Sus scrofa: one gene and its partners. The protein of the gene in region 4 purifies or fractionates together with the protein of the main gene of each other region. This does not show direct contact. Links are inferred from orthologs where the notes say so. Each region holds a gene or a part of one and is shown on either strand. Other genes may lie near its edges. The genes, in order: PRR14, ECSIT, ARHGEF2, PPP2R1A, PPP2R2B, SIKE1 and INTS6.

Region 1 (4,074 bases), on a different chromosome or scaffold from region 4:
TGGGACGATGAAGTTGGGCGTCTCACCGGCAAAACCCTGGATGTAAACAGGGGATGTTCGTGGGCAGGCAGGGAAGGCCCCTGCGGCTTCTTTAGCTCCTCACACTCCGAATCTCTCAGTCGCCAGAGGCCTGCCTAGGTTCACGCTAAAGGCTTTTTCATATAGGTCTTTGCTCAGGCAGAGGTCTCTTTCACCTAAAACTGTTCTCACTCTGAGCAAAATCCACCCTAGGAGTTCCTGTTGTGGCTCAGCAGTAACGAACTCAACTAGTTTCCATGAGGATGCAGGTTTGATCCCTGGCCTCGATCAGTGGGTTAGGGATCCAGCGCTGCCATGAGCTGTGATGTAGGTCGAAGATGTGCCTTGGATCCGGCATTGCCATGGCTGCAGCAGATTCGACCCCTAGCCTGGGAACTTCCTTATGCTGCATGTGCGGCCCTAAAAAAGAAAAGGAAAAAAAAAAAAATCCACCCCCGACTCAGCCCTTTTACTCTGTCTTCCATGCCCGCTGGAGCCCCTGCCCCCAGCTGAACCCCCAACATCATTCTCTGAAGTTCGCATACCTCAACCGGGGCTCTGCGGCTGGCAATGTCTTCTAGCATCACCACCAGAGTGGGCTGGGGGGCCTGGTCCACCTTTTGTGAAGGGCCTTCCTCTGGGCCAGGTGTTGGCTTTGAACGCCGCCTCAGGGTGGAAGGGGGCCGATGGACACGGCTCAAGGGCTCTCGGCATAAGCGCAGTGGGTCGGGGGGCCTAGGGACGGAACAGGAAGATCAGTAGGGCTCAGCTGGGTTCCCAGCTTACCCCTCATCCTGCCATGCTCACCTGGCCTGTGAGCACCACGTGGCTTGTCGGGGTGGTGAGGCAGGTGGCTGGCTTCGGGCGGAATCCTGATGGTTGCTGCGGTGCCGTGGGGTGGAGATCTCCTCTTGGGGCACCAGGGGAACCTAGGAGAGGAGGAGGTGTCGAGAGCAAGGTGACGGACAGGGCTTCCCTGGGCCTAACAGTGTCCTCTGCCATACAGATGGCAGACATCGTGCCTAGAATTCATTCGCGAGCCCAAGAAGTCAGCTGAGCTGAATTAAGGACCAGATAATAGAGTGTCTTGAGCTGCTGGTGTGGGACTTGGGTAATATTCACCCAGGTTTCTTTGTAGAAATGAAAAGGAGAAGGTACCCAGAGAGAGTCACTGCCCTATTTGGGGCCTCAGTTTTTCTAATCTGAGCAGTGGAACCAAAGACCTCAGCCTGCTTCCTAAGGGTTGTTTAGAAGTTGGGCTGGGAAGAAAGCAGAAGGGTTTCTCATACTTAGAGTCGTAGGGACGTGGTTTCAGCCCAGCAGAGTCGGTGGTGAGGAATGGGTCCAGGAGACCCTACCCACTTCCAGGTTAGAGTAAGTGAGAGCCGAGTGGGAGGCTGCCTGATGGATGAGTGTGAGAATGAGGTGTTTGTTATCCTCATTAAAGAACGGGTTTGGCTTTGGTACCCAGGAGACGGGAGGGAGAAGGGGGCCTCTCAGTTCAAGGGGCTCACCATGTGGGCAGCCATGACATCTTCCAGGACCACAGCCAGGACCCGCCGAGAGGCTTTTTCCAAGGGCGAAGGGGCCCCAAGGGGCTGCAGTTTCGGCCGTTTGGGGCTCCTGGCTCCCCATAATGCTCGAGCCAGAGGCTGGCGGCACAGACGCTGCCGGCCAGGCGGGCTGGAGGTGGAGAGAAGCAGAGGACGGTCCTCTAAGCCTGTTGTTGGCTCTGTGGTTTCCCCGGTACGGCCACCAGGCTCCCCGTTTCCCGGGCTCAAGACAGGCGGGCGGGGTGCGCTCTCACCTGGAGTCCCCGGGCAAGTCCATGGGGGAAGCGGCGGCTCCGGGGAGTCCCTGGGGGATCCCAGGCTCCAGCCTGGGTTTGGGGGGGAGCGGGGGAGCGGGGAGTGAGGGCCAGCCCCTCCCCTGGGGCTCCGCCCTTCATGGTCCGCCCGAGGCTCCCAGTAGCCCAGGGGCCGGAGCCCTGGGGCTCGGAAGGGCGCCCTCGTCTGGCCGCCGGGAACGGGTGTCTTCCCGCTGCTGCCGCGATCAGTGGATCACTCGCGCCCTGCCTGGCCGCGAGAACCTGGATTGCAGCGGCCCCAGTTCTCCCACGGCCCAAGCCTCCTGGGGCCTTTGTCCCTTCAGATTCTGCCCTGAGATCCCCCGGGATCAGCTGGGATCCCGGTCCTCAGAGGCTCAGTTTCCGCCAGATCCCTCTGTAATCCTCATCCACTCCCAGTGAGTGGGCGAGGACTCCGAAGGAACACTCCCACACGCCGACGGTTCCCCCCCTACCAGATCCCCTAGACTGGATCCCCGCTGAAAGAATCCTATAGCGCGGTTCCTCCAGTCAGACGCCGCGCGAGGATCCTCCTCTCCCCGTGAGCTTCGGCTCCACAAAGCTCCACTCAGAAAGGGGCTGCCCGAGCTTGAGCATCACAAACTCAGTCCGGATCCCCGGGGATCCACTGTCAAGCAGATACCCCCTTCACTCCAATCCCGGGAGGTCCCGCCCACAGACCCCCTCCCTCCGCCCTCCCCGGATCCCCGCCCAGCGCTCTCCCCAGCCCGGGACCAGATGGTTCAAAAGTTTCCTTCCCTCCCTCCTCCCGCCCTCTCTTCAGCCGCTCGGTGCCCTCCCCCGCGCGCCGCTCACCGCCGCCTCCCGCGGATCCCGGGTCTTCGACGGCTCCCACCTCCGGCTCCTTTAAAACTAGCCTTACCCAGCTCTGCCCAACCGCCGAGGGCCTTCTTCTCAGAGCCTTTGGGCAACGCCCAATCGCCGGTCGCCGTCTTCCGGGGTGGTGAGAAACTAAGTGAAGCCGCCTAGCGGCCATCATCCCTAGGGGCAAGAAGCCAAATTGGGCAGCGCCGCCATTATAGTTGAGGGCAGATAGCGCTGTCCTCAGTGGACCGCAGTGGGCCGGATGGCGTCATCTTTTCCGGCCAGTGAGTGGCCGAAGATGATGCCAAGGTTCTTGAGCTACTGAGGCAACTGTCATGAAGCTAGAGTACCGCCACGTTTTTTAAGGGCATCTTCCGGTTCTTTCGTACTTGGGCCAATAAACGTGAACTGAGTGCTAACGATATGTGAAATTCCCAGTTGCCTAGAGAGGCCCCTTTGAAGCCTTTTCCAGTACCATCGTGGGTTGCTGAACCGGGTTCCCGAGTTGCACGGAAGTGTTTGGCAGCGGGTGGCGGGGACCAGAGACAGGCTGGTGCCACCTCCTGCTTCTCTGGTTGCGTGGCGTCCTGGAGGGACTGGGCTGAGCGGGGGTGCGGAGGAGGCTGGGGCGTTGAGCTTCACTTCACCCAAGGGTTGTGTACCTCTTCCTGGAGGAGCGGGGGTTTCTGCCGCTGGCGCTGGGGGCTCAGTATAGAGGTGCTAGTGCCAGGAGACCAATAACAACCTTGGGGTGCTCGGTGGGGTGCGGCCGCTTTCCTCTCTTTTCGGGCCTCCCCCGAGCCCTCTTTCAAGAGGGACCTAGCTGATGGGCTGTGTAATCAGTCCCATAGTAGTAAGGGACCAGGGATGGAATCCTGCTGCTTAAAGGGGCTTCATCCTGAAACTTTTATACCAGGAGCCAGCTGGTGGTGGGGAGGTAGTGGCTTCTTGCACTGTGAAGGCACCCTCACCGCCTAACCAAAACTCATGCCTCCACTCCTTCCCCAGGATTCCCTGGTCCAAGCTAGTACTTATTTTCTTGCTGGAGCAAGAGAGCCTGAAGCCTAGAATCCTGCGTCTGAGATGACGGTGCACAAGTGACCTAACCCAGCCCAGCATGATTCTCGCCTATGAGATTAAATGATAAGAGTAGTGACACAGGGATTTCTCACTGTGGCTCAGTGAATGTGGACACGAATTTGACTAGCATCCACGAGGATTCGAGTGCGATCCCTGGCCCCGCTCAGTGGGTTAATGCCCTGGCATTGTCTCGATCTGCGGTGTAGGTTGTAGACACGGCTCAGATTCCACATTGCTTTTGCTGTGGCTGTGGTGTAGGCCAGCAGCAGTAGTTCCAATTCAACCCCTAGCCTGGGAACCTCCAT
Region 2 (4,077 bases), on a different chromosome or scaffold from region 4:
ATGCTGCGGGTGTGGCCCTAAAAAGACCAAAGAGACCAAAAAAGAAAAGTACATTACATTAATTGGTTTTCAAATATTAAACCAATATTGCATTTCTGGGATAAATTCCATTTGGTCATGATGTATATAATCTTTTTTTATGTTGCCAAAATTGGTTTGCTGGTATTCTGTTGAGGATTTTTGCAACCATATTGGTAAGGGATATTGGGATGTAGTTTTTGTTTCTTATTGTGTCTGTTTGGTTTGGTATCAGGGTAATGCTGGCCTCATAAAATAAGTTGGTACATACTTGGATCACTCATATCACCCTTTAAACTTTCTCTAGCATCTCCTTCCACCTCTGTTCCACATCTCTGCTCTATTTATAGTACAGCTTTTCCCAAGAGGGGTCTACATGTTACTTCTTCACTGTCTCCAGTTTGGCTCTTGTCCCAGCCACTCCACTGACACCACTCCTGTAAAGACCCCTTGCACGTTCTACATTTAACAAAGCCAGTGGTTATTTCTCTGGCCTCATTTTGCTCAGTTTCTCAGAAGTATCTGGAATGGGTGATGCCCTCCTCCCACCTTGGCACTCTTGATTTTCTTCCTAGCCCCCAGGCCTGTTTCTCAGCCAATCAGAAAGACTGGCTTCCTTCTCTAAAGTGTGCAGTGCTTGCAGACTTGAATGTGCAGATGAATTGCTGAGAATATTGTTAAAATGCAGGTTCTGATTCAGAATGTTTAGGGTGGAGCCAAAGACTTTTTTAATCTAACAAACTTCTATGTGATGCTTAATGCTGTCTTTTGAGTAATAATGCTGCAAAGAGTCCTACACTTTGAACTTGTCTGTCTGCTACCGTAAGGTATCATTCAGCTTCCAAGAGAGGTGTTCTCTCTGTATTTCTGTAGGCAGCTCTCATAGTTCTCAAACCTTGTTCATTTCAGCATTATCTAGGAAGCTTTAAAGAATCACATGCCCAGGCCATACCCCAGATATATTGTATCAGAATATCTAGAGGTAGGGCCCAGGCATCAGCATTTAAAGCACTCCAATGACTCTAACATCCAGCTGAGATTAGACCTTAATCTAAACCTTTGCTATTCAGGGAGCAGCTGTATTGGCATCATTATTTGGATGCAGAATCTCAGCCCTAACCCTGACCTATTGAAGCAGAATCTGCATTTAAACAAAAGTCCACATTTCTCTTATGTGTGTTAAAGTCTGAGAAATGAAGATCTATGTGCTGATAGTTCCCAATGGTTATCACCATCCCTGAGCTCCAGCTTCCATACCTAACTGCCACTTTGGTGTATACCTAGCCATCTCAAACTTATTTTGCGCCTAACTTATGCCCCTGCTTAAACTTGTTCCATCTCATCCTTGCCTGATGTCATTACACCATCATTCCTAGTCAATCAACCACAAACCTGGTTCTGAGTCCACTGTGTTCCTCACTTCCCCAACCAATTCATCAGCTGCTCATGTTGCTACATCCAGATCCACCTCAAACAATCCCATTTCTCTCCATCTGCAAGCCACAACTCCAGTCCATGACCTCTCTTCATCTACCCACACTCCTTTCCTTACCTGCCTCCAGCCAGTTCTCCCTAAAGTGGTCATAGGGAGCTTTTTTAAAATGTAAACTAAAGTGTTCTCCGGCTAAAGTCACTAATTGCACATCACATGAGATAAAAATCAGACAGGCTCCATCCCTCCAAACTCAACTGTTATTACTGGAAGCTCCAGCTACACCATTTATTTCTCTTTTAAATTTTATTTAATTTTTATTTATTTTTGGCTGCAGTGTGCAGCAGCTTGTTGTGGGATCTCAGTTCCCAGATCAGGGGTTGAACTCAGGCTGCAGAGGTGAAAGCTCTGAATCCTAACCACTAGACCAACAGGGAACTCTCCCATTACGCTGTTTCTTAAACAAGCTGACTTTATCTAGTCTCAGAGCCTCTGAGGTTGCTTTTCCCTGTTTGGAAATTCCTTCCCCAGGTCAGTTCATTGCTGTGCCTGGTTATTCAGGTCTATATTCAAATGAGACGCCTTCCCTGACTACTGCCCCATTCCCAATCTAAAGCCCCATCATCCTGATGAATGAATTTTTAGCAATTAGCATCTGAAGTCACGTTTCATTTACTTCTGATTTGTTCAACGTCTAGCTCTCCTGAGACCAGAGATTTTTGTCTGTCTTCCTTTTTGCTGTCTCTTTTGCACCTGGGATAGTGCCTGCTATATAGTAGGTACCCAACAAATATCAAATGAATAAGAAGAGCTAAATTTCTACAAAGCTTCTATAAATCTGAACCCCTAGGCAGGGTGTACCTACAGCAGCTCTGAGGCTGGCTGCTAGGATTTTGACGCCCTTGGGAGAAAGAAGCGAACTTTAGCCTAGCTGCCAACCTGTGGCGTGACCTTGGGAGACGGCTTTAACTTTTCTGAGCCTCAGCTGTCTCATCTCCAAGATTAGAGATTAGGGATGTGGGGAGGCGGGTACACAGAAGGCAGCTCTCCTCGGAACGTCCCGCCGTGTACCCGAAAAGGTCACGGTGCCCTGGCCCCGGCAGCCGGGATCCTCCTGGGGCCGCCCTTCCGCGCTGCTGGCCCCAAAGGGGCTGCCCCAGGGCTCATAAATTCACGCTTGCCTCCCCGCGTGGGACCTACCTATTCACGCGGACGGCCGCGGAATCCGGGCCGGTTATGTCTTGCCCCTGGGCGCCGCCATGTTGCACGAAGATCTTCTGGGTCACGGGCCACCAGGGAGCCGGCAAATCAACAGCGCCAGTTTAAGAGAGGTCCCGCCTCGAAGAAAGGAGCACCAATAAAAAGGCGCAGCGACCTTGGCCCCGCCTCGTGGTGAGTCAGGCCCCTCCCCTAACGAGGCAAGCTGGACTCCCCACGAATGAGCGAGCTTGGTTCGGGAAGGAGAGACTGTGCGGTTTCGGAGCTGGGACATTGGACTCAGGCAGCGGGTGAACTCAACTGACAGTCCTAGTGCCCACCTGAAATACGGGAATGAAATATTAAAGGTCTAAGTAATGTGGATTCCCTCATTTTTTCAACGAACATTTGAAGGCTTACTGTGTGCCAGGCGCTGATTCGGCGCTGACGTTAGGGAAGAAGAAGGACTGCTAATCTAGCTCCTGGAGTCTGGACTAGTGCTTAACCTGTCTGTGCCTCAATAGTCTCACCTCTGAAATGGCCAATTATAATAACCTCGTAGAGGTTTTTTGTTTTTTGTTTTGTTTGTTTTTTGGGCTTTGTTTTATGGAATAATGGAGTTAATCTATGCAGAACAGCCATGTAAGCGTTTGCTACTGTTATTATGGGGGATTCACACTAATACCTTATTCCACCTCCCTCGCTTGGACGGTTGAGGATCCTGTAGGGTAGTGTGCATGTTCACAATTGTGTGTGTGTGCGTATGTGTGTGTGAGATTGCGATAGAGTGTGGATGTTTTCATGGGTTTTCGTAGTTTCTCAGAACTCAAACAAAGGTGTGTACGTTTGTGTGTGGCTGTATGAGGGTAGGTCAGGGATAGTCCCCACGTGTGTCAGTGTGGACATTGGTACATGTGGGACTTTGTGTGTCCACGTGTCAGTAGCTGCATGTGCACTTGTGATTGTATCAGCTTCTGGGTGTCTGTCATTCTGTGTGTGTGGAAGGATGTGGAATTTGTCCCAGAATTCTGAGGGGCTGGGATTAGGTGTGTCAACATTTCTTTGATGGTCCATGCAATAATGTGTGTGTGATTGCATGTCTGAACACTAGTGGGTAGATGACTGTGTTTATGACACCCCATGTGTCCCCAACTTGTGGATAAATGATTGTCCCACCATCAAGACACATGTGACTGTTATAGCCCTTTACATATCTGTGTGTGATTGTGTCTACCAGTGTGTGCCTGTACCTATATGAATCTCTGACTTCGTGTGTGTGTGTGTGTGTGTGTGTGTGTGTGTGTGTGTGTGTGAAACTCTGTGTCTCAGCGGTGGTATAAAGGTCTGACTGACAATGCCAATCTGGGGTGGTCTCTGATGTGGGATTCCATTATGTAGTTGTGTCCAGCTGTTGGTATGTGTTTGTAACA
Region 3 (3,500 bases), on a different chromosome or scaffold from region 4:
GTAACAAATAGGGGAACAGGGGCCTTTTAATGAGAGAGGAACAGAGATACCCACATCGACACAGAGACACAGACACAGAAAGGATGGAACAGAGAGTCTCACAGCACGACAGAGGCAGGATACCAAGAGTAGAGGACAGAGCATACAGACCCGGGGAAGCAGACAGAGGGGTACAGACACCAGATCCAGATTTGGTCAGATGGAGTCAGAGAGATGCCTGGGGACAGAGAGACCCAACAGCTGGGAGAACAGAAGAGGCACAGAGTGGTGGCTGGATAGGCAAAGGATCAGGGGAAGGGGAGGAAGGTGGTAGCTTCCATGGGGAGTTGTCTGTCCGTACCACACAGGAGGGTTGGCCTCCTCGGTGCTGCAGTTCCAAAAAGGGGTCCAGTTCCTCTTGGCTCCACTGTAAGGGGTCCTTCTGGGGGCCTTCGCATCCCGATGCCTGAGGTTTGTTCCTGAAACGCACATTGCCATCACTGGCCTCTGAATCCAGCGGCCTGTGACGGGCACCAGGGAGGAACACCGCCTCAGCCCAGCCCTGCTGCTTGCCCCCAGCCCAGCCCTTCCTGTTGGCTCAGGCACAGCCTAGACCCAAACTGGCCTCCCTTCTGGGACTGGGCTTTGGCAAAGCTGTGATGCTGACTGTAGGCAAGGGTGGCCCCTGCTGGTCAAAAGATAGTACTGCCGTCAGAAGAAAGCCAGCATTGTGGGGTGGGCAAGGGCAAGCTGGATTCCCACTCCTTGCCTAGTTTCTGATGCCAATCTTGGCCCCTACTCAGACAAATAGTGTCCCCAGGGTTCCGTTCCTTCTTTACCTAAAAGGGTATAATTAGGGCCTCTAGTGAAAGATGACACCTGGAAGATGCTGAGATACAGCCGGCACTGTGTAAGGGGTACTCAGGGCATCTCTGCCTTTGACCAGCTGCTCTTAGGAAGGTGTGGTGAGTCCTGCGGACAAAGGCTTCTCACCCAGGTTCCCACCTAAGCCACTTCAGGGACAAGAATCCTCTCCCATCACACAGCCCAGCCAGCCCTGCCCAGGAGCTAGAAAAGCTTGGTCTACTCACCAGCATTAAGACAACTTGTCCAAGGGGACCATTGCCAAAGCAGAGAGACAGGGCCCTTCCACGGCTAGCAGGCCCTCTCAGCGACCACTCACACTGAACTCTTCACACTGAGCCCCGGACCTTCTCTTTCTGACTTCCTCTGTCTTTGGGGAAGTGGTCAGCCAGGGATTTTCCAGGAGAGGGGAAGAGCTGGGTCCCTCTCTTCTGGTCTGCCAAGCACATGCAAACCCCTGCACAAGAGCAGCTCTTCCACCATTGCAGGGCCATTCTATGATGTCCAAACATCATGGACCCGCAGGCAGGCAGAAATTTGGGAAAGTGCCAGGTTCAACACTCCAACTCTTTCAAGAAACCTCCCAAAGTTCGCTGGGGCTGTTTCCTCATGTGTGAAATGAGGAGATTGTGCCATACGATCTCCAAGCCCCTTTCAGCTCTAACACTACTATATGTGGAAAGGCGCCACACCTCTCCTGCTCCATTTTCACACACCTTCCTTTGAGACCAGGTAGAAAGGAGGAGCTAGGACCACTAGGGAGGGCCACATTTTGCTTATTTTTTGGGGGGTGGGCTGTACCTGTGGCATATGGAGGTTCCCAGGCCAGGGGTCCAATCGGAGCTACAGCTGCCAGCCTACACCACAGCCACAGAGACACCAGCTCCGAGCCATGTCTGCGACTTACACCACAGCTCACGGCAACGCCGAATCCTTAACCCACTGAGCAAGGCCAGGGATCGAACCTACAACCTCATGGATACTAGTCGGATCCACTTCTGCTGCACCACAATGGGAAGTCTGAAGGCCATATTTTGAAAGGCAGGGTCCATCCTCCCTGGATGGACCAGGGAGGCCCACAACAGGCCTGGGTTCAGATTCTCCAGGGGAGAGACTAGGGGCCCAAGTCACTTCAACTCCTATTGTGCTTTCCAACCCTTTCTCCTAGGTCAAGGACTTGAGGGAAGGAGGGACAGGAGGTCCTCCAGTGGTTTACCTGCTCAGTGAATCCTGGAGCTCCCTGCCTGGTCCCCAACTATGTCTTTTGAAGGGGTCGTAGTTGTGGCTGTGGGCACGGAAAGCCCCCGACCTTCGGAGGGGTACGTCATGGAAACCATCTCCCTCCTTCTTTTTTTCCTCCTCTGCCTCCTCTTCCTCTTCCTCTTCCTCCAGCTGCTCTCTGGACTCTACCACAGACAGGCAACGGCGAGTGTGGCCTTGGGGCACTAGGTCTCCACCTGCGAGGAACACTTCTGGGACGTCTCTGTTCATGGGAGGTACACACAGTCCAGTCTGAATCAAGAAGACAGAGAAGGGTGAGCAGAGTTCTAGAATTCTGGAAACTTGGAACCAGAAAAGTGTCACAGTCAGCCAGGCTGAGATAATCTAGTCACCTCTCCCTAGATCTAGTCACTGAGGCGCAGAACTGGAGGATGGCTGGCTCAAGATCGCACCAGGAATCAGCTGCAGAGCCAAGTCTAGAAGTTTTTTTTTTTTTTTTTCAGGCCCGCACCTGCGGCATATCGAGGTTTCCAGGCTAAGGGCCAAATCCGAGCTGTAGCTGCTGGCCTACACCACAGCAACAGCCACGCCAGTTCTGAGCCACATCTGCTACCTACACCACAGCTCATGGCAACACCAGATCCTTAACCCACTGAGCAAGGCCAGGGATCGAATCCACATCTTCATGGATACTAGTCGGATTTGTTTCTGCTGAGCCACAACCAGAGCTCCCAAAACTTGGGTTTTCTGACTCCCAGTCTAGTGTTCTTTCCAGTACATAATGACATCCTCATTCACTCATTATTATTCCAGTTAAGGGCACCTACATGGCAGAAAAAAAGCCAAGCAAAGAGAAACTGATATTGTTCTTACGCTCAAGGAATTCATTCAAGTGAGTGTGTGTGCACATGTGCGTGTGTGCACATAGATAAAAACACAAATCACAAACGACTGGTCAGAGTTTGCCAAAAGCCACAAGAGATTTCAAAAAAATCCTTCATAGGAGTTGTCTTGTGGCTCAGCAGGTTAAGGATCCAGCGTTGTGCAGCTCAGGTGGCTGCTGTGGCGCAGGTTCGATCCCTGGACTGGGAACTTCTGCATGCCATGAGTGCAGCCAAAAAAGAAAAAGAAGAAAAAAAAGGCTTTGTGCTCCTAAAAGAATGGTGCATATAACCAGTTGGAGAATTCAAAAAAAAAGGAAACAGGAGGAAGTAAATAGCCTTTGAGGTGGGCCTGGAAGGGTGGAGTGGTTAGGACTTGGCCACGCTGGAAGGGGAGGAGTCTAGGCAGATAAAGCACCAGGAAGAAAAGGTGCCTGACTGAGAAAGTATTATGATTTCTTCCTTCTAAGACTCCGGTCATCTGGGAAGTCAGAGAGTCATTCTGACCTCTCCCCATGGAGCAAAGAGAAGGCCTCCAACATCAGCCACATTGAA
Region 4 (2,465 bases):
CCTGACTGAGGCGCCACAGTCAGCAGAAAGGGAGGCTTCGGCACAGCGCTGGTTAGGACATTGCTCAGTGGGACAGAGTCGCGGGCACGGGCGCAGCCCCTCCCTCGTGTGTGTGACAGCAGGTGCCACTGCAGTGCGTTGGGGGCACCGTAGGTGTTGGCGCAGGGGCTGGGTCAGAAGGGCTCACCTGAAACAGGCTCCGTCCGCAGGGCTGGGCGAAGAGCGCTGGTGTGGGTGGCAGGGCGGGAACCCTCGTGTGTTGCCAGTGGGGCTGTGAGTGGTAGATGGGCACAGTGACTGAGCATTGGTAGCATCGAGTGGAGCCGATCCAACGTGCACCCTGTGAGCCAGCACGTCCTCTCCTGGGTGTTCGTCCAAGAGAAACGAGTGCTTTTTTTCTAGCAAAGGCCGTTCACGGGGGCTTTATTCTCATTAGCCGTGACTTGGAAATAGCGTACGTGCCTGTCTCGAGCGGTGCCTGGGTTGTGGGCTATTCACATGCTGAGAGGCTCGTCCTGCAAAGATGAGACGCCTGCTGCCTGCAGCAGCCTAGGGGACTCAGGTGGGCACTTGCGTGAGCAGCAGGCCCAAGAAAACCTCTCCTGGGATCCGTTTATGTCACCTGCAGACCTAAAGGGCCCTCTTGGTGAGAGAGGTGAGAATAGCGGTTATGTTGAGGGCAGGGCAGCTGCCTGTCAACTGGAGGGGGACGCATGACGCCTGCACCTCTGACCTCTTTGTCTGGGACACAGCTTCACACCTTTAGTTTCTCTCTGAAGCCCACCTGCCTTTCCCGCAACAACGGGCCATCTGCCAGGATGCATTTCCCTGGACCCCTTCCTCCCTGGGCCCCTATCTCCTCTGGCCCCTTGCTCCCCTGGCCCCTTGCTCCCTTGGCTGGAGGCCGAGGGCTGCCCCCTTTGCCACGTGCCCCTCCTGTTCCTCATCATCAGTTGGCTCAGGTCTCCCTCCCAGCCCGGCTCCGTGTGGGTGAGAGTCAGGGTGGGATTTCCAGTGTTGACACCTAACTCGCCGCCCGTCAGCCTCCGTAAATGCAGTACATGAATGAAAGGCATCTGGTGGCCAAGGCCGGAGACCCAGGGCATCTGGGGTCCCTGCCCAGGTTTCCAGGCCCTCCGACCTCCTGCACCTGTTCTGGGCCCTGGAGGCCTCTGCCGGGTTCGTCAGGCATCCAGCCTTGGAAGCGATCGTCTCTCTGGCCTCAGACCTGGAATTCACGCGTGTGTCTGTCTGTGGGCACCTCGGCCCCAGCCCCGCCCGCCTGACCCCTGGCCCCCTCTCCTCCCAGCACGCTGCAGAGCGAGGTCAAGCCCATCCTAGAGAAGCTGACCCAGGACCAGGACGTGGACGTCAAGTACTTCGCCCAGGAGGCTCTGACTGGTAAGGCGTTGAGGACGCCGGGCCCCAGCGGGAGGGTGGGCTGCCAGCCCGGTGGCAGAGGCGGGGGCAGCGGAGCGCAGAGGGGGGCGGCTGTTCTGACTCCCGCCTCTTCCTGTTCCCCCAGTTCTGTCGCTCGCCTGATGCTGAAGAGGAGCCATGGCTGCCTGTGGTGTCACCCTCCCCTGAAGTCCCTCCCTCGGGAGACAGTGGGGGGCCTTAGGCTGTCGCCCCCCGTGCATGGTCTGACCCCAGGCCCCTCCCCCAGCACGGTTCCTCCTCTCCCCGGCTTGGGAACCCAGCTCGTCACCGTCCGCCTCCCAAGGGCTGGGGGTGCACCCGGAGGGACGGGGCGTGACCCTGGGGGAAGGGCCTGCTGCGGCCTGCGCTGGGGAGAGACGTGAGCAGCCCAGGTCGCCGGCTCCTGCTGCTGTAATGGGGACCCCTCCCCCATCGACTTCTCCACCCCCTTCCTTCCCCTCCGTGGTTTTTTTGTGTCAACTGTGCCGTTTTTATTTTATTCCTTTCCCCCCCTTTTCACAGAGAAATAAAGGTCTAGAAATAGCTGGTCCTCTGGTCCTGGTCACGAGCGTGGAGGTGGGGCACCACGTCAGGCCCCGCAGCCTGGCCTTTCTGGGGAGGACCTCGTCACTGCGCTTGCCGCACTGCGTGTCCCCAAGAGGGGTGGGATGCGGACGGGATTGGCCGGCCCACAGGGCCAGCTGTCCTGAGGGGCAGCTGCTCCACAGACGCGGAGCGCGCAGAGCATGTGGTGGATTTGAGCAGGTGCCCCGGAGCCAGACCGCCTGCGTCGCATCCGAATCCCAGTTCCTCCGGGAACAGCTGCGTGCCCTTGAGTGGGTCGCCAGGTCCCTCTGAACTCAGGCTTGCACGCTGTCAAGTGCAGGAAGCAGTAGAATCCAGATCCAGGGGCCGGGTATGGCGGCTACATGAGTTCATACAGGTCAGGTGGGTCCCTTGGGTGGCACATGAGAGGGTCAGTCAGGGGAGCTGCGCCTTGCGGGAGAGCCCCCTGTGGGCCGGGAGGCTCAGGATAACCAAGCTGT
Region 5 (3,500 bases), on a different chromosome or scaffold from region 4:
CAGCCTCCTCCTGCAGCAGCAGCAGCAGCAGCAGCAGCAGCTGCTGCGAGTGCGCGCGAGTGGGTGTGAGGGTGAGTGCGCTGGCGCCGGCCGCAGCGCCCTGCCCAGCTCCCCGCGGCTGCTGAGCCCCCGCCAGCAGGAGCCGCCCTCCCGTGGGACCAGCACCCTCATCCGGGCCAGGCCAGCCTGAATCCTGCCCCTGCCATCTCGCCACTGCAGCTCGGTCCAGAAAGGCACCATTTTGTCGCGGCTGCCCGCTCTCCCAGGGGGAGGAGGGATCTTTTTTGCATTTTGGAGCGGCTGCCAACGAGGGGAACCTGTTGGGCATCTCCCTAGCCCCGCTTGTGAGCGCCTCCGGGACGGCGGGTGGGACCAGACCCCTCGGGGCACGGCGCATCTTGGCACCCGGAGGCAGCGGAGGCAGGCACAGCATCCTCGCTGGGAATTGGAGCTGGAGTGAGCGCACCGCGGGAGGAGCCGCCGCCGCAGCCTCGGAGATCCCGAGTGGAGGAGGTGACAGCTCCATTGCCGGGTTTTTATTTTTTTTCTCTCTCCGCCTCCCCGTCTCCTCCTCAGGCTCGGACCATGGTGCAGTCCCACTGGCTCCCCTGCCCCCCTCTCCTGTGACACTGGCTGCGGGGAGGGATCATGGATACTTGTCTGCCGGCTTCTGGTTCCCACGCAAGTAAGCCTGCTGTCAATGGAGGAGGACATTGATACCCGCAAAATCAACAACAGTTTCCTGCGCGACCACAGCTATGCGACCGAAGGTAACGCCAGCCCCCGCTGCATTCCGCCGCTGGGGCCGGGCGCAAGTTGCGGATCGCTGAGCTCCGCTGGCAGCCTGGCGCGTAGCGGCCGAGACTCCTCCGGGCCCCGGGGCTGGGGCGGGGGCTCGGCCCGCAGGGGCAGCCGCCGACGGAGCGCCGCACATCCATCCGGGCTCCGCGAGGCGGGCCGGGCGTTCAGCAGCAGGTGGACCCGGCGCCCATGGGAGTTAAAATGGCCCTCGGGGATTAGGTTTTTCAGGGTGGGGCTCCCGGCTGGAAAAATGACCCCCCCCCCAAAGGCGGTTGACCCCTCCCCCTAGACGTATGCAGAGGTCTTGTGGGGAGGTAAGAAGGAAAGGGGCCCAAGAAAACCGCGAGTCTTCCCTCCCGGAGCGGAATGATGCGTCTCTCAGTGGCTGCAGGGAGGGCACGGTTTCATTTCCTGCCGGTTCATCTATCCGGCCGGGTTACCTGCTCAGACAATCAAAAGCCCAAAAGGCCTGAAAAAGGGCGAACCCCTCTCCTCTTGGAAGTGCATTAGTAAGGTATCGAAAGGTGGCTGGGGAACCAGGGTTGGGGCTGCAAGCGAATGAGTCTGACACGTGGGAGAGCGATGCGATCCGTGGAGCCTTTAAAAATCACCATTATGAATTCTGCAGCGGTAGTTTCTGCTGAATCAACAGCCAGCAGAAAGCAAGAGGGCTCAGTAAGCTGAGCTTTGCCAAGAGGTGAAATTGTCGTCTCTCTCCCTCTCCCCCAGCTTGTTCTGACATTAGCCTGGGTGAGGTGTAGGCAGGAAAGGAAAGTCAGCAGGTGGAATCTCATTTGCCTTTTGTGTGGGAATAGAGAATGGAGACATTTTTTAAAAAAATACCCCAACTTTTGCCTTTTTGCTTTCATTTTCCACCTGTAGGCCTTTATCCTTAACCACTCCTCCAAGGCGTTGCGTTGTCACATTGCAGTATCCATTTGAGAAAATGTGTGTGAAAGTCCTTTAGGAAAATGTGGCATGGCGTGCTAATTTAAGATTATTCTTGTTATTCTTAGGTGCTCAAATTTCTACAGTATTTAATCACATCAAGTCTACTAGACAAATCGAATGGGGGTGGTAAAAGAGTTCAAGTTCTGAAAGAAATAAAAAAGACACACAATTGGAGGGTAGAGGTGGCATCTGCTGTAGACATCCCTGGAAGTTTTAGACAGAAAGCATGGCTAGCGCTATTGAAAATAAAGGTGCTTCATTCATCATTATTGGAGAGCATCACACCCAATACGTCCATGGTGCAGGGCAGACTGTATGAGCTCTGGCCTTCAGAAGCTGGGAGATGGCTTTTAGGATGTTCCTACCCCATACCAAGCATCATACTTGCTGATTTTTTTTTACTTCCCTGGTGCCAGCATGGTTGTATATGTTCTTCCCCCGTCTCAGTGCTTTGTCACTGACTCACCAGTGAACATGGTTAGCTCTTTGCCTGAGCATGTCACCCAAAAGAGAAGTCGGCTTTGGGTCTATTGTCTTCTAAGGCACACTCTTTTTTTTTTTTTTTTTTTTTCCTATTCAAGACAACAAAGATAGGAGGCTGCCTTCATGTTTTCTTCTGTATTGCATTACGCCTCCAGGTACAGGCAAAGGAAACTTACTGAGCTGGGACGATGGGAAAATTGAGGCCATGTGTGTAAGAGTGTCATCTATAGAATGAAGAAATGAGTTACACATGGCTTTCCTTGTTGCTTTCAGGGCCCTAGGTACTTCCTAATCTTCCTTCCTATCTTATCGCATTTTTATATGCCCTGGTAGAACCAGATACAATATCACATACAGTATCTGGGTTCATATTGTCCAAAAGGAGGCATGAGTTTATAGCAAAGAACTTTCTAAAATCTTTCCAAATCAGCCTCTCAGATCACTCCCCTCCCACTGTCTCTCCCTCTTCCCCCACCCCCCGCCCCCACACCACATTTAAAACTCATAAACCTTTATTTCACCATATCCTTCCGGGTGTCTTTACCTGATCTTAGTGAAGGTCTGGGAAGAAAAGAAAATGGAATGTGGACAATGTAAATTGCCTTTCTACTTGCAACCCCTAATTGCATTTTAGGGACCATTCATGCAGTTCTGGTGGCCAGAGTGGGGAGAGTCTCCTCTATGGATGAATATCTTCAAAGTGCTTGTACACCTTGAAAGAGCTCCAGGTCACAGTACTCTTTGTTAAAATCCTCTTCGTTGGGGGCTTGCCCCCAAGTTCTCTTCCTCTTTATTAACTTCAACACACCTTCTGGGGAATTAGTTTCTGGGTCCTTCTATAGACTTGGCTTCTCTTTTTGTCTCCTGTAATATTTCTGCCTTTTCCTGCCTTGCCCAGATATGTCAGATTTTTTTCTGTCTCTCAAATCTCCTTCACAGTTATCTCTGAATTTTTCTTCCGTTAACTCAGATCATTCGACACTGCAGTATTCTATTTAAAGCTGAAAGATTTTTGCTGTGTAGTTAGTGCGAAGGACTCTAAGCTCAATTTGCATTGTAAGTGGTAGCTGCAGGCAAGTTCATCCAGCTAAGAGCAATGCAAATGCTAAAGGACACTTTTACCCCGGCTCTCTCTCCATCTCTCTCCCTCCCTCTCTCTCTCTCTCTTACCCTCTCCCTTCCTCTCTCTCTTCCCCTTCCCCCCTCCATCTCTCTCTCTCTCTCTCTCTCTCTCTCCATCTCTCTCTCTCTCTCTCTCTCTCTCT
Region 6 (3,500 bases), on a different chromosome or scaffold from region 4:
AAGCAAAAACTTGAACCTTGAAGGAGACAGAATTTAGTTTATATTAAAAACTTGCTGGGAGTTCCCTTTGTGGCTTAGGGGTTAACAAACTCAACTAGGATTCATGAGGATGTGGGTTCGATCCTTGGCCTCACTCGGCATTGCTGTGGCTCTGGTGTAGCTTGGCAGCTGAAGCTCCGATTGGACCCCTAGCCTGGGAATTTCCATATGCCGTGGGTGCAAGCCTAAAAAGCCAAAAACAAAGCAAAACAAAACTTGCTAAGAGATGTGACCAAAGATACAATAAGATACCTTGGAATGTGGTAAGTTTGGTGCCAATAAAAATATTTGAATTTAAGTTAAATAGCCATTTAGAGATACTCTCCAACATGCAATGAGTGTTTAGACCAGAATCGATTTTCTGGAAACAAATTACCTGTGAATATCACAAGGTAACTTTATTGTGGCTTTATCTCTGAGGACTGAGATTATAGTGAAACTTCTGTGTAAGCTCTGTAACATAGATTAAGTGAACTTTTAACATCATAGTGCACATGTTCTCATGAACTTCCTATCTGTAAAAAAAGATGACTTTTCCACCTTTTTTTTTTTAATATCATCACAGGAAATTGAGAGTCAGATTGACAGAATCTGTGAAATGGGAGAAGTGATGAGGAAAGCAGTTCAGATGGATGATGACCAATTTTGTAAGATTCAGGAAAAACTAGCACAATTAGAGGTAAAATTGTTGCTATTTTAGGTTCACAATATTTTTTGTTGTTATTGTTTGGTGGGGGTTTGGGTTGTTGGAGATTTGTGTGTGTGTTGTTTTTGTGTGTGTGTGTGTGTGTCTTTTTGCCTTTTCTAGGGCCGCTTCCTAGAGGTTCCCAGGCTAGAGGTCTAATCAGAGCTGTAGCCAATGACCTACCTCACAGCCACAGCAGTGTGGGATCCGAGCTGCGTCTGCAACCTACACCACAGCTCACGGCAATGCCGGATCATTAACCCACTGAGCAAGGCCAGGGATCGAACCTGCAGTCTCATGGTTCCTAGTCGGATTTGTTAACCACTGCGCCACGACGGGAACTCCTGTGTGTGTTTTTTAATGGAAGCACCTGTGGCATATGGAAGTTCCCAAGCCAGGGACTGAATCTGAGCCCCAGCTCCAACCTATACCACAGCTGCAGCAATTCCAGATCCTTTAACCCACCATACCAGGCCAGGGATCAAACACATGCCTCCACAGCAACTCAGACTGCTAAAGTTGGATTTTTAACCTTCTTCACCCCAGCGGGAACTCCAGGTTCACAATAATTTAGGGAGTTTTTAGAGTCTGGAAGGTATGTCTTCACTGTCCTATCACTGCAGTGTATTGATGTTTTCTCTGTGCTCTGATTTAAAATTAAAGCACATCTCCTGGGAGTTCCCATTGTAGCACAGCGGAAATGAGTCTGACTAGTATCCATAAGGATGTGGCCTCGCTCAGTGGGTTAAGGTTCCAGCATTGCTGTGAGCTGTGATGTAGGTCCCAGGCATGGCTCAGATTCTGTGTGGCTGTGGCTGTGGTGTAAGCTGGCAGCTGTAGCCCCGATTCGACCCCTAGCCTGGGAACTTCCATATGCCATGGGTGTAGCCATAAAAAAAAAAAAAAAAAAGCACATCTTCCTTACCCTTTTCATGAAAGGAAATGTAATCAGCAGCAAACTGAAGATGCCAAGTATGTATTGGCTAGAAATTGAGATGTCACATCAGGAGGGCAGAGAGAGGACAAGGGACAGATTACATGTAAGCAAAAAATCCCTCATCTGCTGCAAAAAGATTTCAAATAGATAATGTCTAATATTTTGATTAAGATGGGAATAATTTACAAAGAAGAGCCTGGGATGTTAGTGTTCCCGTAAAATGGTTAAGCAACAATGTTGTAATAGATGACTTAAATGTTCCTTATTACAGGGTGCTGTCATGGACCTTTGACGAATATGAGCAAGAAAAAGATAGGGTCCCTGCTCAGAACCTGATGAAAGGAATTGTACTAGTACTTGTTTTGGTACAAAATGGTATATAAATGCTAAAAGAGAGACACAGGGTATTGAGGGAAGCACTTTGTATGGCAAAAGTGTTAATGAGCATGGGCTCTAACCCTTAGTGAAACCTGAAAATGCTGTGGTTTACTTAGAATTTCCTGCTGAGAGAATAAGGGTGAAGAGTGCAAGCGGCCCTATCTGAAAATCAAAGGGAGTGACAAGGTCCCAAGTAGGAACTAGGAGTTAGTTAAAATGATAGAATGACCTTGTCTACATCCCTAATTTATCTTAGTTATGGAAACAGGCCTAAGGAAATGTGTGACACATTTTACTTAATACTTTTTGTTTTTCTTTTTCTTTTTTTGCTTTTTAGGCATATGGAAGTTCCCAGGCTAGGGGTCAAATCAGAGCTACAGCTGCCTGCCTACACCAGATCCGAGCTGCATCTGCGCCCTACACCACAGCTCACGGCAATGCTGGATCCTTAATCCACTGAGCGAGGCCAGGGATCGAACTGCAACCTCATGGTTCCTAGTCGGATTCATTTCCGCTGTGCCACAACAGAACTCCTACTTAATACTTTTAATGCTGACAAACATGGGTATTGGATTGAGGCCCCAGCAATATGACATCTGAGTTTGAACAAGTTTTGGGACTTCTGTAAGCCACAGTGTCCTCATCTCAAAGAGAACACAGACATAGGCAATGGTACCTACCCTCTGTGTTGTATGAGATGATGTATGCAGGATGTCCATGCAGTACCTTGCTATGTGCCCGATAATTCTGCTCCGCATTTCCTTCCTTTCTCCAAAACTGTCGGACATCTAGGAGAGAAAATTGAGCAGAATGAAAGTGTTGTTAGGAATTGAAGAGATAAAAGAAACAAAAGTAAAACTTGTGGGAACTATGAAGAGTTTGACAACCAGTCAGTTCCTGAAGTGGAGAGGGACCTTGTTTTTTCCTTGTAGTCCTAACACATGGCATATAGAACTTACTCAAATTCTTAAATGAATTTTAAAAAATAGTATTTTAGGAAATTCTCAGTTCTTTTGTTTCCTCGAAACTTTTAAAATATTTAAAACAATATGCTTTCTGGAGTCCTGTTGTGGCACAGCAGAAACAAACCCAACTAATATCCATGAGGACACGGGTTCAATCCCTGGCCTCACTCAGTGGGTCAAGGATCCGGTGTTGCCATGAGCTGTGGTGTAGGTCATAGACGTGGCTCAGATCCAGCGTTGCTGTGGCTGTGGCGTAGGCCGGCAGCTGCAGCTCCCACTTGACCTCTAGCCTGGAAACTTGCATATGCCACGGGTGCAGCCTGGAAAAAAAAAAAAAAAAAAGGAAAAAAAATAACAATATGCTTTCTGTTTCAGGGCCAAAACAATGTGTTCTGATAACAGTTTGACAGTCAAAATACCTGACATTAACAATGTACTTTTTTTTTCCAGCTTGAAAATAAGGAACTTCGAGAGTTACTGTCCATCAGCAGTGAGT
Region 7 (3,500 bases), on a different chromosome or scaffold from region 4:
AGAATGCTGCTGTAACTTTTAAAGAATTATTACAGTAGTATTACATAATCATTGAATGAAGTAAAAAGTGACTCATCCCTCATTCTCTGCATTTCTTACTGCCGTCACTGTTGTGCCCAATTCTGTTCCCCAGAAGTAACAATCTTTGTTAACAGCTTAGTTTCCTTTTTGGCTTTCTTTATACATTCACACATATAGGCACAGACACAAACAACATCGTTTTCTTGTGATGTACTAATATCCGATAATTTAACTCTAAATGGCCAAAATATGTCATATTCTGGTATTTTCTTCTACTCTGCCCATGGCAGCTACTACGAATCAAGTCAGGTGGGAACTTAACCCTTTGCCCACTCTGATATAAGCATTTCAACTAAGCGTTCTATAAAAAGGGTAATCTACATCATTTTCCTGTAAATTATGCTATAATTATTTGGAATAGAGTAGAAGAGACACTCCTTTTCATGGAAATGTTAAACATATTGCTTGTTCTATACAGTGAAATTTGTTTTGTTTAGAAGATAATTAAGTTTTATTTTTAAAAATCTCTAGATTCTGTCACAATATTTATAATGGCAACAAACTAATGTAGGCCATGTGGTAAGGGAGGACTGCCCCCAGTAACTCCGGGGAGCAGTCATACATCAGGAGACACTATTTTTTTTCTTTTTTCTTTTTTTTTTTTTAAGATTTTAATTTTTTTTCATTATGGCTGGTTTATAGTGTTCTGTCAATTTTCTACTGTACAGCAAGGTGACCCAGTCACACATGCATGTATATATTCTTTTTTCTCACATTATCATGCTCCATCATAAGTGATTAGATACAGTTCCCAGTGCTATACAGCAGGATCTCATTGCTTATCCATTCCAAAGGCAATAGTTTGCATCTATTAACCCCAAATTCCCAGTCCCTCCCACTCCCTCTTCCTACCCCTTGGCAACCACAAGTCTGTTCTCCAAGTCCATGATTTTCTCTGTGGAAAGGTTCATTTGTGCCATAATTAGATGCCAGGTATAAGTGATATCATATGGTATTTGGCTGACTTACTTCACTTAGTATGAGAGTCTCTAGTTCCATCCATGTTGCTGCAGATGGAATTATTTTGTTCTTTTTTATGGCTGAGTAATTTTCCATTGTGTATATATACCACATCTTAATCCATTCATCTGTCGATGGACATTTAGGTTGTTTTCATGAGAAGATATTATTCGATAACCACATGGAAGGTAGTTTTAGTGAGGTTAACTTTTGTTGTTGCTCTATTCTGTTTGAAAAGATCAAGTGCACAGTGTTCCTATAGCACAAATGGGGAATTACCAGGAATACCTCAAGCAAGTACCTTCTCCACTAAGAGAACTTGATCCTGATCAGCCTCGAAGGTTGCATACATTTGGCAACCCCTTTAAGCTGGATAAAAAGGTAAATTTGGAATGTTATTTATATAATTTATTTGTGCTAGGCACTGTGAATTTAACAGTTCTTAATCTAACTCAAGTAAGCTGAAGCTATTTTCCTGGTAGAATACCTAATGTCACATAGTTAAAATATAGTTATTTTAATGGTAATTGGAATTATTTGTGCCATTTAAAAACTGTATGTAAAGACAGGGAAATTATATTCTTTCTTGTTATAGGGAATGATGATAGATGAGGCAGATGAATTTGTGGCTGGACCTCAGAATAAACATAAACGACCTGGAGAACCAAATATGCAAGGCATCCCTAAAAGACGCCGCTGTATGTCTCCACTACTGAGAGGCAGACAGCAGAATCCCGTTGTGAACAATCATATTGGAGGAAAAGGGCCACCTGTACCTATGACTCAAGCACAGCCAGATCTTATTAAACCCCTTCCTCTTCATAAAGGTAAGAGTTTGTCCTTAACATTATTTGTTGTTTTTTGATTCTTCACGGAAGAGATTTTTGTAATATATTACGGAAAAAAATCGATGAAGTCCAAGAGAAGATACTTGTTTATTCTAAATTAGCATGTAAGCATTTCTCTATATCTTTTAAATGAACGGTTATTGAACATTTCGTGCTTATTATGTTTAACAGTTATCATGATCTAAAATATCATTTGCAAATCTTAAATATTTAAAAACTACAGTTTTCTAAAGGGGTGTTATCAATACCCACAGAAAGATGGTTTTCAATTTCAGTTTAATTCAACCACTAATTTTTAAATGATACGGTTTTGTTTGTTTATGGCCACACCTGTGGCATATGGAAGTTCCTGGGCTAGGGGTCAAATTGGAACTGAAACTGAGGCCTAGGCCACAGTCGTGGCAATACCAGATCTGAGCCGCATCTGTGACCTACACCACAGCTCGTGGCAAGGCTCAGATCCTGAGCATGGCCGGGGATCAAACCCACATCCTCAGGGGAGACAGTGTCGGATCCTTGTGCTGCTGAGCCACAATGGGAACTCCATGATATGCTATTTTCGACAGTGCGAAGCACTGAGTTATAGTGGTAAACAAGACAGTGATCACTGTGCGCATTTATAATGAGTGAGGAAGGAAAGTCATCGAACATTTCACTGGAAGTATGATGAATGTTACAGAAGGGAAGTCTGGTATGTTGGGAAACATTTAGCAAGTGGATTTAACATAGTCTATGGGCACTTAGCTGAGGAAGTTATGTTTAAGCGACCACTTGAAGGATGAATGGGAATTAGTTAATAACTAAAGCTGTGCATTCGCCTGTGCTACAGTAGTCGTCTAAGAAGAATCTGTGCAAAGGCATACAGTAAAGAGCAGGACATTAGGGGAGCTGAAAGAATTCTAACACATTAGGGGTTAGGATGAGGTAAGGTGAGAACTGAAATACACATGCAGAGTCCAGATCATAGAGGGCCTTGGAAGCCACTGTAAAGATTCTAGACTTTATTCTAAGGACAAGGAAAATCCATTGAAAGGTTTTAAAGAGGTAATGATCTGATCTGATTAGCATTTTATAAAGACCAGGCTGGCCTTATTGTGGGCAAGAATGAGAATTGATATAGGAAACTCTTAATTAATGGATTTGTTAATTGCAGGTGGTGATCTTTCATGGCTAATAATGTCTTAACTGGAAGGAAATTAATATTATACCTCTTGATGGAATTATACAGTATTACTTTTAAAGTCATCTTGCTCTCCTCTTCCCAACACACGCACACACACACAAACTGACCATCAATCTAATCAAGCCTCTGTTAAGTACCAATTTTTAGGAAATATAAGGGACAGAGAAACATGTTAAATTACAAAACAGATATAATTAGCAAAATCCAGATTGCGGGAAACTATAGGACAAAGACTTTGGTGTGTGTGTGTGTGTTTCCAGAAAAAAAAAAAGTGCATGGAAAAAAAGAGGTACAGAAGGATTTTATAGATTAAAACATATAAATCAATTGCAGTGTGTTTATGGTCTGATTTGGACCCTGAACTTTCCACAGACACAGAAAATGTGGCAATTGGAGATTGTGGGCAGTGATTGGGTATTTGATACTAT

What was found.
Region 1: the proteins of PPP2R1A (region 4) and PRR14 purify together in Homo sapiens (affinity purification with mass spectrometry; 5 studies listed by BioGRID and IntAct, counting the BioPlex papers as one, with this or other methods). This does not show direct contact. The link is inferred for Sus scrofa from reciprocal best matches to the Homo sapiens genes PPP2R1A and PRR14.
Region 2: the proteins of PPP2R1A (region 4) and ECSIT purify together in Homo sapiens (affinity purification with mass spectrometry; 3 studies listed by BioGRID and IntAct, with this or other methods). This does not show direct contact. The link is inferred for Sus scrofa from reciprocal best matches to the Homo sapiens genes PPP2R1A and ECSIT.
Region 3: the proteins of PPP2R1A (region 4) and ARHGEF2 purify together in Homo sapiens (co-immunoprecipitation; 3 studies listed by BioGRID and IntAct, with this or other methods). This does not show direct contact. The link is inferred for Sus scrofa from reciprocal best matches to the Homo sapiens genes PPP2R1A and ARHGEF2.
Region 5: the proteins of PPP2R1A (region 4) and PPP2R2B purify together in Homo sapiens (co-immunoprecipitation; 9 studies listed by BioGRID and IntAct, with this or other methods). This does not show direct contact. The link is inferred for Sus scrofa from reciprocal best matches to the Homo sapiens genes PPP2R1A and PPP2R2B.
Region 6: the proteins of PPP2R1A (region 4) and SIKE1 purify together in Homo sapiens (affinity purification with mass spectrometry; 6 studies listed by BioGRID and IntAct, with this or other methods). This does not show direct contact. The link is inferred for Sus scrofa from reciprocal best matches to the Homo sapiens genes PPP2R1A and SIKE1.
Region 7: the proteins of PPP2R1A (region 4) and INTS6 purify together in Homo sapiens (affinity purification with mass spectrometry; 4 studies listed by BioGRID and IntAct, with this or other methods). This does not show direct contact. The link is inferred for Sus scrofa from reciprocal best matches to the Homo sapiens genes PPP2R1A and INTS6.

The regions. Positions count from the first base shown.
Region 1 is NC_010445.4:17,748,581-17,752,654, forward strand, and holds the start of PRR14 (proline-rich protein 14), read right to left. Parts: upstream 2,801-4,074; 5' UTR 2,681-2,800; intron 2,554-2,680; exon of another isoform or gene 2,320-2,553; intron 1,898-2,319; 5' UTR 1,849-1,897; coding exon 1,826-1,848; intron 1,702-1,825; coding exon 1,533-1,701; intron 948-1,532; coding exon 826-947; intron 754-825; coding exon 564-753; intron 37-563; coding exon 1-36. UniProt on the Homo sapiens protein: Functions in tethering peripheral heterochromatin to the nuclear lamina during interphase, possibly through the interaction with heterochromatin protein CBX5/HP1 alpha. Might play a role in reattaching heterochromatin to the nuclear lamina at mitotic exit.
Region 2 is NC_010444.4:70,167,963-70,172,039, forward strand, and holds the start of ECSIT (evolutionarily conserved signaling intermediate in Toll pathway, mitochondrial), read right to left. Parts: upstream 2,801-4,077; 5' UTR 2,651-2,800; intron 1-2,650.
Region 3 is NC_010446.5:94,032,891-94,036,390, reverse strand, and holds part of ARHGEF2 (rho guanine nucleotide exchange factor 2), read right to left. Parts: intron 2,356-3,500; 5' UTR 2,335-2,355; coding exon 2,060-2,334; intron 1,208-2,059; exon of another isoform or gene 1,077-1,207; coding exon of another isoform or gene 1,071-1,076; intron 459-1,070; coding exon 341-458; intron 1-340. UniProt on the Homo sapiens protein: Activates Rho-GTPases by promoting the exchange of GDP for GTP.
Region 4 is NC_010448.4:57,929,020-57,931,484, reverse strand, and holds the end of PPP2R1A (serine/threonine-protein phosphatase 2A 65 kDa regulatory subunit A alpha isoform), read left to right. Parts: intron 1-1,309; coding exon 1,310-1,401; intron 1,402-1,525; coding exon 1,526-1,542; 3' UTR 1,543-1,965; downstream 1,966-2,465. UniProt on the Homo sapiens protein: The PR65 subunit of protein phosphatase 2A serves as a scaffolding molecule to coordinate the assembly of the catalytic subunit and a variable regulatory B subunit.
Region 5 is NC_010444.4:148,230,826-148,234,325, reverse strand, and holds part of PPP2R2B (serine/threonine-protein phosphatase 2A 55 kDa regulatory subunit B beta isoform), read left to right. Parts: exon of another isoform or gene 1-576; coding exon 577-770; intron 771-3,500. UniProt on the Homo sapiens protein: The B regulatory subunit might modulate substrate selectivity and catalytic activity, and might also direct the localization of the catalytic enzyme to a particular subcellular compartment.
Region 6 is NC_010446.5:105,782,796-105,786,295, forward strand, and holds part of SIKE1 (suppressor of IKBKE 1), read left to right. Parts: intron 1-604; coding exon 605-718; intron 719-3,454; coding exon 3,455-3,500.
Region 7 is NC_010453.5:16,455,276-16,458,775, forward strand, and holds part of INTS6 (integrator complex subunit 6), read left to right. Parts: intron 1-1,279; coding exon 1,280-1,422; intron 1,423-1,636; coding exon 1,637-1,868; intron 1,869-3,500. UniProt on the Homo sapiens protein: Component of the integrator complex, a multiprotein complex that terminates RNA polymerase II (Pol II) transcription in the promoter-proximal region of genes.